2 linked regions of the Arabidopsis thaliana genome follow. The gene in region 2 interacts genetically with the main gene of each other region. Each region holds a gene or a part of one and is shown on either strand. Other genes may lie near its edges.

What was found.
Region 1: of AT5G50930 (region 2) and HEI10, changing one suppresses a phenotype caused by changing the other (phenotypic suppression), as found in Arabidopsis thaliana (one study listed by BioGRID).

The regions. Positions count from the first base shown.
Region 1 is NC_003070.9:19,961,231-19,967,586, reverse strand, and holds HEI10 (RING/U-box superfamily protein), read right to left. Parts: upstream 4,321-6,356; 5' UTR 4,112-4,320; coding exon of another isoform or gene 3,638-4,111; 5' UTR 3,246-3,637; intron 3,139-3,245; 5' UTR 3,056-3,138; intron 2,983-3,055; coding exon of another isoform or gene 2,875-2,982; intron 2,480-2,874; 5' UTR 2,442-2,479; coding exon 2,372-2,441; intron 2,290-2,371; coding exon 2,217-2,289; intron 2,133-2,216; coding exon 2,087-2,132; intron 1,983-2,086; coding exon 1,952-1,982; intron 1,762-1,951; coding exon 1,506-1,761; intron 1,414-1,505; coding exon 1,244-1,413; intron 1,139-1,243; coding exon 877-1,138; intron 783-876; coding exon 776-782; 3' UTR 635-775; downstream 1-634. Other genes in the region: MUM4 (NAD-dependent epimerase/dehydratase family protein), read left to right, coding at 1-430; MRD1 (mto 1 responding down 1), read left to right, coding at 2,875-2,982, 3,638-4,111; MSL4 (mechanosensitive channel of small conductance-like 4), read right to left, coding at 6,009-6,309. UniProt on the Arabidopsis thaliana protein: Ubiquitin E3 ligase required for class I crossover (CO) formation during meiosis.
Region 2 is NC_003076.8:20,720,228-20,725,023, reverse strand, and holds AT5G50930 (Histone superfamily protein), read right to left. Parts: upstream 2,956-4,796; coding exon 2,897-2,955; intron 2,679-2,896; coding exon 2,626-2,678; intron 2,490-2,625; coding exon 2,184-2,489; intron 1,772-2,183; coding exon 1,700-1,771; intron 1,029-1,699; coding exon 948-1,028; intron 865-947; coding exon 707-864; 3' UTR 543-706; downstream 1-542. Other genes in the region: AT5G50940 (RNA-binding KH domain-containing protein), read right to left, coding at 115-194, 305-359. UniProt on the Arabidopsis thaliana protein: Involved in the promotion of spontaneous somatic homologous recombination (HR) events, which is opposite to the function of FANCM in ordered HR. Only FANCM is essential for replicative repair in the absence of the endonuclease MUS81.

The sequences.
Region 1 (6,356 bases), on a different chromosome or scaffold from region 2:
GAGAGAATTTGACAATGTATGTACCTTGAGAGTCCGGATGCCAATCTCCTCAGACCTAAACAACCCGAGAAACTTCATCACGAAGATCTCGCGCTACAACAAAGTGGTGGACATCCCGAACAGCATGACCGTACTAGACGAGCTTCTCCCAATCTCTATCGAGATGGCGAAGAGAAACCTAAGAGGCATATGGAATTTCACCAACCCAGGGGTGGTGAGCCACAACGAGATATTGGAGATGTACAAGAATTACATCGAGCCAGGTTTTAAATGGTCCAACTTCACAGTGGAAGAACAAGCAAAGGTCATTGTTGCTGCTCGAAGCAACAACGAAATGGATGGATCTAAACTAAGCAAGGAGTTCCCAGAGATGCTCTCCATCAAAGAGTCACTGCTCAAATACGTCTTTGAACCAAACAAGAGAACCTAAGCCTTCAATGAACATCACACTCTTCCACAAGTGCTTACTTTAAACTGTTTTGTTTTGTTTTTTTTTCTTTTTGCCTTTTCTTCCAACAGATATATCTTTTTTATATTTACTCATCGTCTTATGATCCTTGTAGGTAGTTTCACTATATTGATTCTACTAAAATATGATTTACGATTATTAATATTTATATAGACGAGAGTTTTTCTTTTCCTCAAATACTACATTTTCCCTCAGATTTTTACTTACTAAGTCAGACAGCTTATAAAAAAGAAGAGTCACTTACTGGTTGTGACCATTAGGACTTCCACCTAGGCAGTTTCAGAACACTTGAACTTGATCCTTAAGCTATAGCCTGAGAATAGAAGCAACAAAATATTTTAGAACAAACCCAAGTACATGATGTGAGTTTGGTCTATTTTAAGGTTATAGTTTTCTACTTTTCTTACGTGAACAGCTGAGGGCGGGAACGAGAGAGCTGAGAACGTTTAATAGGGGAGAGAATAAGGTTTCGTAGAGTTGACTGGGGATTAGCAGTGCCACCACCACCGTATACAGGATGTCCTCTGCCAGCTCTTCTGTTTCCAAGATCGGATGGAATCGCAGGTGAGTCGGTGGAGATGTCGAATGGACCTGAGTTTGAACTGTTCTGTCTTGCTGGCCATATCTCATCTTTAGGTCCTGGTGTTGCAGGAGAGAAAAACGACCGGTCTGCACCAAATAAGTCAACTTGATTTGGAGATATTTAACCAAAATAGACTCAGGATCATATGAAGCACTAAGCTCAAGACACAGAAATAGTGTAGTTAAATTAACCTTTGCGAATGGTCTCTCTGTTCTCCATCATATTAACTGCTGGGTTTGAGAAAAAGTCGGGTTCTTGGTGTCGCGGGTAGAAGTTGTTTGCTGGTTGGATGGCTGTACGTTTAACTGACTCATACTCACTTCTTAGCTGGTCATACATCTCATCAAGCTTCCTCTTCTGTCTGGTAATTTAAAAACAATTAAGGTACATTGTTATTGTAGTTGAGATTAATATAGGGAACAGAACCAGGAAAACATATCTTAAGTGACTGACCTTGATTTCTCAGAGAACTTCTCTTGGAGCTCTTGCTTATCCTTGGTCAAGTTTTCTACCTCTTGCTCCATCATCTGACACCTCTTGCCCATCTTCTGATATGCTGTATGGACCTGCTCCATTTTCTCGCTAAACTTTGCTTGCATACCCTCACATTTCTGACGACACTGTGCAACAACTCTATTCATCTTGTACTGCATCTCTAAGTCTCTTTGGGCAATGTAAAACATTACACTTCGGTATGCACTCTTCATCACTAGATTCAGTTAAGAAAAACAGGAGGTTTTTGAACCTTAAACTGTTGTTTTACCAACTCTTACAAAGGCAAAAGAGATAAAGTTATACCACTTGAGTTTAGATTTGAGATACAGCGGGACAATTTTCAATTGAAAAACCATAGTTACAACTTGAAAATTCTACCAAGAGCACATCTATGAAAAGGATACGTATTTGTGGAGAAATTCCAGCCATCGCCATCTGATAACACATGTAAGCAACGAGGAGATGTAAGATGGGAATATTGAAAACTGGAAAAGAAGAAAAGCTATAGTATCCTTGCGTATTTCAGCTTAACCACTTACATTTATCCATTCTTCATTTGGATTGATATCCACAGGTTTCATTAAACTAAGATGGAAAGATAAAGACTAACTGTCAAATGGAGAATAAGGCGACTAGAGCTAAACTGAAGCTAGGCTAGGAAAGTTTTACCTCTTGGAGAGTACTTGATCACAAATGGGACATGCCCCATCATTACTGAGAATCTTGCTGGCATCTTCAGTACCTTTTCATGGTGTTAAGGTCATCTTATTCAAGCTCACAAGTGTTGCTACGCAAAAGAAAAGTAGAAAGTGTAAATAGGATACATAATAAGTGACCGCAAGTGGTGGAAATGGCCCTGCCCTCCAGGTCCCTCCAACACGCGTTGCATCTCATGTCAACCTCTAATATAAGTATCTCAAGCTGCTACGCACCTGCAAATTAACTTCATATCAAACAAGATGAAGAACCATGCTCTAAATGAAACTTCCATTCTCCACTGAACTAACTCATTGAGATCACCAATTAACTAGTATTCACAATACAAGTTTTAATTAACCTATATTCATTCTAACTACTGAAAATTGTTAAACTGCAAACACGAATGGGTACAAAGTAAGCATTAAGACCTGTCAAACTTCAGTAGTTAGCAGTTCATAGTCATCGGAGAGGTACAAAACTAACAGTAACTGTGATGATCAACTAGTTTCTAGTCATAAAAACGATTTAGAAAACGGAAACCCTAGAAATTGGGCATATGCATAGATTTCAGAGATCGGCAAAATTTCGACTGCACAGTCCCGAAATTAAGGGTTTCTACATCACAGCGATGAACTCAACTCAACAGTTAGATTCCGACTTACGATTCTTCAGAATACTGGAGACAAATCGGTTTATCAATCTCCCTGATTCGAGATTGACACAAACCTTAGAAATTGTAAAGAGCTTAGGTATAGCAACGAAATCGCAGCAGGAATGTGAAGATCTAAGAAGAAATTGAAGAAGCTTACCTGCGATTTTGACAGAGCGATAGAGAGAGAACGCGTCGCAGAAAGTGATTGAAGAACAACAAACGGCGATTAAGCTTACCGATCTGAAGTATAACACCAAAAACAGCAGCGAAGGATCTCAAAAATTGAAAATCGAAGAAGAGGCAGATGCAAATCCGAGAGAAAACACAAGAGTTTCCAGGATCGTTACCTCTCTCGCTGATTTCAATGCCGGCGCGAGAAACGAAGATTTCAAATTTCCAGAGATAATCAGCAGTAGCAAAATGACTTGAGTGAGCAATAAAATGTCAAAACGACATCGCAGTTTGTTGAAATGCACATCGCTAAACGGCGTCGGTTTGTTAAGCTAAGACTTCCTTTTTTTGGTTCATTTAAACAAAAACAACATCTTAAGTAAAATACAACAACAAAAACACAAACTAAACAAAAAACCCTAGTTCTCTCTCTCTAGTTAGCCGCCGCAAACCAGATCAAATCTTCAAACGCCGTTTTGCCTCTTTGGTGGTCGGTTTCGGCCGGCACCGTGAGAGGGCCTCTCTTCTCTTTTTAGTTTTTTTTTTCCTTTGTGTCGATTTTTTTTAGCCGGCGGCGGCTCCTCCTTCTTTGTGGCTTAATCAAAGAGTTTTAAGTCGACGGCGAGCGGAGATAGTTCTCTCAGATGGAGGTTCGTTGGTAGATCTACAATGGGGAACTATGACTCTCGACGACGGCAGCAGATCTGGTGGATTTCTTCGTCAGTCTCTTCGCGGAGGTACCTCTCCTCCGATGAACCTCCTTGGTAGTGGTGGCTCAGTGTTAAGAAGGTACAGAGGTAGGCGGATCGTGGTTTTCGAGCTTGGTTGTGAAGATCCTATCGATCCCGGGCAGATTTACATGATTCAAGGCGTATTAGCTATGCTGCCGTCAACGACTCCTGATGGAGAATTAATGAGAAATGGGGGAGAAAAGAAAACCATTTGGATTGTAGAAGAAGAAGGAAAGCTCTCCAATAAAGCCTCGACTTCAAGAAATTTTTGTCTCAGCCCGGTTGATCCGGTTGAGTATCAGTCGGATTAGTATGTCCGTTTTAGGCTTAGGACCGAAATAGTGAAAGCAGAGGAGTCAAAACCCTTCTGAAGTTGCGCTTTTGGCGTAGATGCTATTAGGACATGTTCTACACTCGGATCATGAGGGACTAATAGCTTGGAATTGGATTGGATCTCAGGATAGGATTTGATTTTCTTTGTGCTAGAAATGTTTTCGTGTCATTGGGTGAATTTTGGTGGTTTAAAAGATGATTTCACTTAGAGTCGTGGTGTAATTCATCTCGTTGTGGTTGGAAAAATACAGTGAATTTCGGTTGGGTAGCGTTGAATCCATCATAGTGTTTCAAGGTGATAATAGACTGATTCATTGTATTTGGTTAAAATATGTTTTGGTCGAATGACTTGTACCTTTGAATTGGTTAGTGGAAAGTTGATGTTGAGCCAAAAAAAAAAAAAAAAAGACAGAAACAACACATCTTATAGAACCAACTTGTAATCCGTGCTGGTGCAACACGGGTAAAAATTAAAATTTAAAATACTTATTTAATGTTGGACTATTGTTTGCTTTATAGTATAGTTTTAATCATTCTCTATATAATATAAATTCTTAATTATTATGTAATAGGGATGGATATTCGGTTTTTCAGTTTGGTTTTGGTTTTATAAAAACTAAAACTATATAGAAAACGTATGTAACTCGGTTTTTTACGATTCATTTTGAATAGTTTTTTGTTTTACATAAACTAAAACACCATATGTATCTTGAATTCTGGACTCATGCTACAACACATGTTAAATTTTGTTTTTGATAAATTTTATATATTATACATTTTAGAATAAAGTTTTGAGAGCTTGTCTTTTTTATATAGTTATTGTTCATCTCAGAGATCACCTTAACAATGAGATGCAAGTCTACGTTGGATGTTTTCTTTAATCGTCCAAATTTTAACTTCTAATTGCTTGTCAATATCTCCGGAAAGTCTCATATAGATGTTACAATATTGCTCTTTAATGTTATATTTGTGTGTCCACTCAGGGAACAATATCTTTTAGCAGTGATGTCTTCTTTGTTGCCTTGATTGTCTATCCTCGGAATGATGCTCGAGACCTTTGGAATTTCGTTATTCTTCAGATCCGTATTGCAGTGATTTCAGAGCACGTTTGTGCTCAGAACGTACCCGATCTTGATTGGAACATTCATCTACCATATATTAGAATGTGTCTTATTCAAAATTCACTGCCAAAGAATTTTATTTTCATGGACCTCCAATACCACACAGTTACTCAATGTTATCAATAACAAATAGCTCACACCCATGTCAGCTGCCCAAGCTAGATGAGATAGATGCATAACTCTGATCCATATATAGAAATAGAATTCTGTTTGGCATATCCAAATTATAAATTTATAATGGATAAATAAATGATATTGCTATTTTAGATATTGTGTAGGATGTTTAAAAAAAAATCAAAATCTCAATAAATCCTCATTCAGAAGAAAGAAATCTCATAGACCCCTAATATAGATCCATGATTCGCGATTAGAACAATTGGATTTTTCAAAAGTAAATTGACTTTATAAATTTTATTGATGTCAATTAAATTGATGGTTACAAAATTTTTTCCAATATCGTTATAACATAATACATATATTTATTAAAAAAAAATCAATGTTATACTTTTAAAGGTACTTACGTAACATTAATATAAAGATTCAAATGCTGTAAGCTTTTTATTTTATCGACTATAAGTCTATAACCACTCAACACAGATATACACAAAAGCAGACTCGCTTTTTGCAATGAAAATGAAGAATCCTCAAGTCCTTAAAACAATAAAAGAGAAAGAAAATGAAGACAGAAAAATCTCTCTTTTTCACTCACTGCAAATACCAAAAACACCAAAAAGTACTCAAAATTTTCCAATCTTCAAACACTGCGTTGTTGATTCCAGCTAGGAGGAATGCGATCAGAAGTGATGGGAGTAGCAGCAGGAAGACTTTTTACGTTGATGTTAAGAGGATATAACCGATATTCGATATCCAACTCTCTGCATAATCTACCAATCTCTTCAAGTAATTGACCTCTCCTCACATATCTCTCTCCCATATTTTGATGATTCATCTTATGTGTTGGCCACATTGCGATCTTCACACTGTTTAATCCACACATATCTCTAAACACAATCATCGGCGATGGATGCCAATGATCCTTCTTGTTATCTACATAGCTGCATAAACACATAAAAAAAATCATATTAAGTGATGTTTTTAAAAT
Region 2 (4,796 bases):
CAAAAGGACATAGAAAGACACCAACCAAAAACAAGACAAAGACTTTAATTCCGATCACATCTCTGTATCCTGTAAAGGATCGATGGTTTTAGACCTTCAATAAAACAGATTTACCTTAGCATTCTCAACTTCAATATTATCTTTCTCTTCTCGAATCCCTACAGCACCAATCTCGTTCTGAGATTTTCCTTTACCTACAACATAAAACACTCAGAATTTCTTTGATACATTACCCTTAGAACAAATCGAGATCCCTCTTACATAATCTTCAATGTGTAATAAACAAAAGGATCCAGATATATACCTAAACCATCCTCCAGCTTCTGTTTCTTCGTCGGAGAAGAGTCAGATTGTGACATTGTTATCTAACCCGGCTATCAGACCTAGCTTACAATATCTTTGCTTATACGTGGTATATAACACAGAAAACAAATCACAAATCCCTAAGAGATATATGTTAACCTACAGAGAATATAGAGATAGATTCTCGATATTTTATATACGCAACTTCAAGATAATGAGATATATACGCATATTTTTTAATTTTCTGATTGGATATAGTCATTTAAACGTTAAAGTAAGTAGGTTAATGCAAAAGTCTTCTATATAAAATTTTCCACAAAAATTTAATAACAGCTTCTCCATCAAAGTTAATGTTTATATATATATATAGAGGAGTGCGTGTATTTACACTCTGCTTGAAGAGTTACAGATCGGTCGTGATGCGAACGGCATTGCTACTACTGGCTTTGTCTTCTTTCTTGGCTGATCCTTTCTTGCGTTTCCTCTCAGATTGTGGCTCCTTTGCCTTTAGCTCATTGCATAGTGACCTCAAAGATGCTGCTAAGTTATCGTTTCTATGCGCTGAAAATTGCAAAATAACAGATATGAAATTCAGAACTAAGAAAACACTAACATGAACGTGTAAGAGAGAAACAGTTTAATACCGGAGAGAACAACATCGTCCATGTTCACAACTTTGCGTCCAGCATGATGAGCGAATAGTTCAAGATCCTTTGCAACGTTTTCTGTTACTCATAACAAATAAGCATAATTTCAGACAAAGGTATTCTGGAGACGAAAACACTAAAAATAAGGTTTAGATTTTGGTTGAGTCAACTCCACTATGAATTGAAGCTTCTACAAACAGTTTACCATACAAACATCAACCAAAATAATCCTACTCAACATGAGCACACACCATGCTCAAGAAAATTTCATCCTCTACACCAGATACGTAAAGAACATTCGTTTCGATCCTGCGTCTTTAAATTGCTATATCTGTGTTTCTTTAAGCTAAGTACCACATAAAGGCCTAAGAATAGATACTCTTCTTCACTACTGATAATTTTTTTATCAAAAACCAAAAAACATTCTTCCAATGCATTGACTAATCTGTATTACCCTGAAGCTAGATTAAGATTCAAAGGGACTGAAAAGTTTTACTGAATTGATTTAGAACTTATAAAACTAACACTGCACATTTCATTAATGTAAAATTAACTAGACCAGGATTCTTCTAACCAAAAGATTACTTCCAAAGCATATTGACAAATCTGTATTCCCCTAAAGCCTAGGTTAAACATCCAAGTAAATAGTAGCAATAAATAAGGTTCTTTTAACTATAATAAGGTTCTTCAAACCATAAGATGAAGGAGTTGCAGAATTAGTATTTCAATGCATAGAAAACTGATCTCACCTGCATATTTGAAGGCTAAATCTGCCACACATGCCACAACAGGTCCACCTATTTCCATTCCATTTTTCTTCGCTGCTCAATAAAAAACTCAAATCAATCAAAATCCAACTCTTCTCCATCTATTACTTAATTCCAGGAAGAATCTAAATTTCAACACTGTAGAACTAACACTTCAAGCAGCTTCGTTACTATGTTGATTCATCAGTTCTAGAAATTGAAAATCCCCAAATCTAATTCGAGCTCCAAGAATCTCAATGAAAACATTTAAGCTAATTTCATCGTTCACCAGAAGAAACTAATCGGAAGCCAAATACGAAGGACAATTGAATCAACGATTCAATATCCTTAATCAAATCAACACAAATTCCAAAATCAAATCGAAATACAGACGAAGCTTCATCGAATGTATTCATAAACCCGTTGATTATACCAGAAATTTTGAGAATCGATTGAAATGGGAAGAGAGGGAGGGAGAGAGTCTAACCCTCGGCTTCGGCGATAGAGATCGCGGAGAGTCTGAATCGGTCTCTAATGAGATCGTCCATAGAATATTCTTCAACGATTTGGTCTACCTGGAGATCGCTTATGTCTTCTCCTCCGACGTCCATGGCGAAGCAATAGCTAGGTTTCTTCGCCTGTGTGATTGTTGGGCTATCCGATAATAAAGGGAGAAATATACGCGGGAAAACAAAGTGTAAAACGCAGCGTTTTAAGTATCCCCTCCATGTCCAAAACGCAGCGTTTATATGGAGAATGATATACATTATTAGCATTTTGCTAAGTTGGAGAACTAAAATAAATATGCATCTCCACCCACAAGTATTCTTAAGCTATGGTTGAGTAATGTAACAATGAAACAAAAATTCAGTGGAAGAGATAAATATAACATTTAGAGGTCAGCGGCACGGACTTCACTATAGCCATACCTACTTTTTGCTTGTTACCGATGTTAGGTCCAGCTTCCTCGATCATCATACACCTGTGGCTTTATCGATTACCATCCTCGTTGCCGGCAACAACATCTATGTTTTGCTGATGATTTTTTTGTGTTAACAAAGTCAATGGCAAGATCCTTATCAAAACTTTTCAAGATTCTAGCTATGTTTGAGATAGACAAGGAGGATGCATAAAAGAAAGCTAATTGCATAGTTATACCTTTGATTTAAGGAAACATAGCACTCTCTATTACGCGCCTACCAGGCTAGCAATTTAAATAAATATTTAGCGTTTCGTTTGGCGTAAGAAATGTTAAACATGTTTATGAAGTTCTATATATCAACATGGAAAGTCGTTTTGATTCTTGATTAAATATGTTCCTTATCAGTTATCCATAACAGTACAAGCTTTTTGCTATATGATTTTCAATTCTCAAAGAGGTGTTTAGGAAAAACTAAAAGTTTTTCTAATGCTGTCTTCTGGTCCAATAACCACTATAAATCTAAAGTATCTTGTTGGTAAGCCATGATAAAAGGTTGATCTTGGACTACGTAGGTGTAGCCGTGTAGGTTCGTCGACAATTTCATTACCTATCAATTTAATTTATTTCTATTAACAAAAAACGAAAAAATCATATAGTTTATATCAAAACTTTTATACTAAGACATCACTATTACTTCAAATAATATGTATGTATAGGGTGGGAAATATGGGATAGATGCAATATGGATAGACATCACTACACAACTTCAATATAGTTTCTTTCTTTCTTTATTATGAAAAGTACATGTCTTAATGCGACAAGATATTTCTAGCCTCATTTTCTATATAGTTTTGTTTATAGATTATATTCATCAAAAAAGATTTTGTTAGCTTTTGTTTAGGTTTGTCATCCTCTGTTTCTCAAGTTTAGGACTGTTGTCTCACAAAATTTTCTGACTTGTTGTCTTTGTTTCTTTGAGATTCCGGATTTCGTTAACCGGAATATGCAGACATTGTTTTCGGTTTTTTCCCACCTTTGCACTATACTTTTGCAGTTTAAAAGGATTTTACAAAGGCGGTTTATCAAACTGGACATGCGATTTTAAGCCAAGATTTGTATTCATGCAACTAATCAACAAAGGATAAGAAGAAAAAAGTTAGGAATTTTGTTTTAGCAATACAATCATTCACACATGATATTGACACATCATTGCTCTCTAGGATTAAAAGCCCCCTTACAGTCTTCAAAGTCCGTAGCTAAGTTGGAAATTTCTTACTTTTATAACGTTTAAGTGTTTGTATTTTGGTCTATAAACAGAAGATAATTCCCATAAAATAAGAGGTTGAACATAAACCATGTCACACTCTCAAATAAGAGGTGCAAGTAACATAAGTGGCAACGTCTAGACTTAACTAAAAAGATTCGTCCGCCAGAAGTAAAAAGTAATCAAAAATAAAAATTCGAGAAAATGGTCTCGTACACGGAACCTCTAACATCAACGTAATTGACTATTGAGCCCCCGGTCCAGATACATAGCGACTAGCGAGAGAAGAAAATCCTCAGGGTAGAATAGTCATTAACTGCCTAACCAATCATGAAATGTCACGTGTCACGATCTTAGAGCCTCTAAAACGGACGGTGGTGAGGTTGTCAAGATCCTTACCGTAGTTCTTCTTCTTTTGTGGCTATTACAAAATTGGTTTAATTCTCTAAACCGACAAAGAGAGAACCCAAGTTTAAAATTTTAAGTGATTTGAATGATACATATTGTATTTGCTACTTAAATTAAAAAACAATCAAATGGAGAAGTTTAATGATTTTTTCTGATAAACTATTGAATTTACTGTTCGTTTGTGGGTCGGTTGGTCTAAACCGGCCGTTAGATTACGTAAAATTGAGTTGGTAAGTAGGTCGGTTTACCACGTGATATTTTCTTAGCTAGAGTTTGGAAGTATTGCTAGCGTGCACGATGGTGCACCGAACAAGTGTTATAGACCCTTACCGTATAAAGAAAAAAAATAAAGAATCAGACCGGAGATAGATAGAGAGAGAGATAAGGGAGGGTGAAAAAATAAGCACACACCATTATCCATCTGTTTTTTTTTTTCATCTCTCTCTCTCTCTTTTCTTCTTCGATTCGTGTTTTCTCCATTTCATTCTCTGTTACGCTTCAATCGA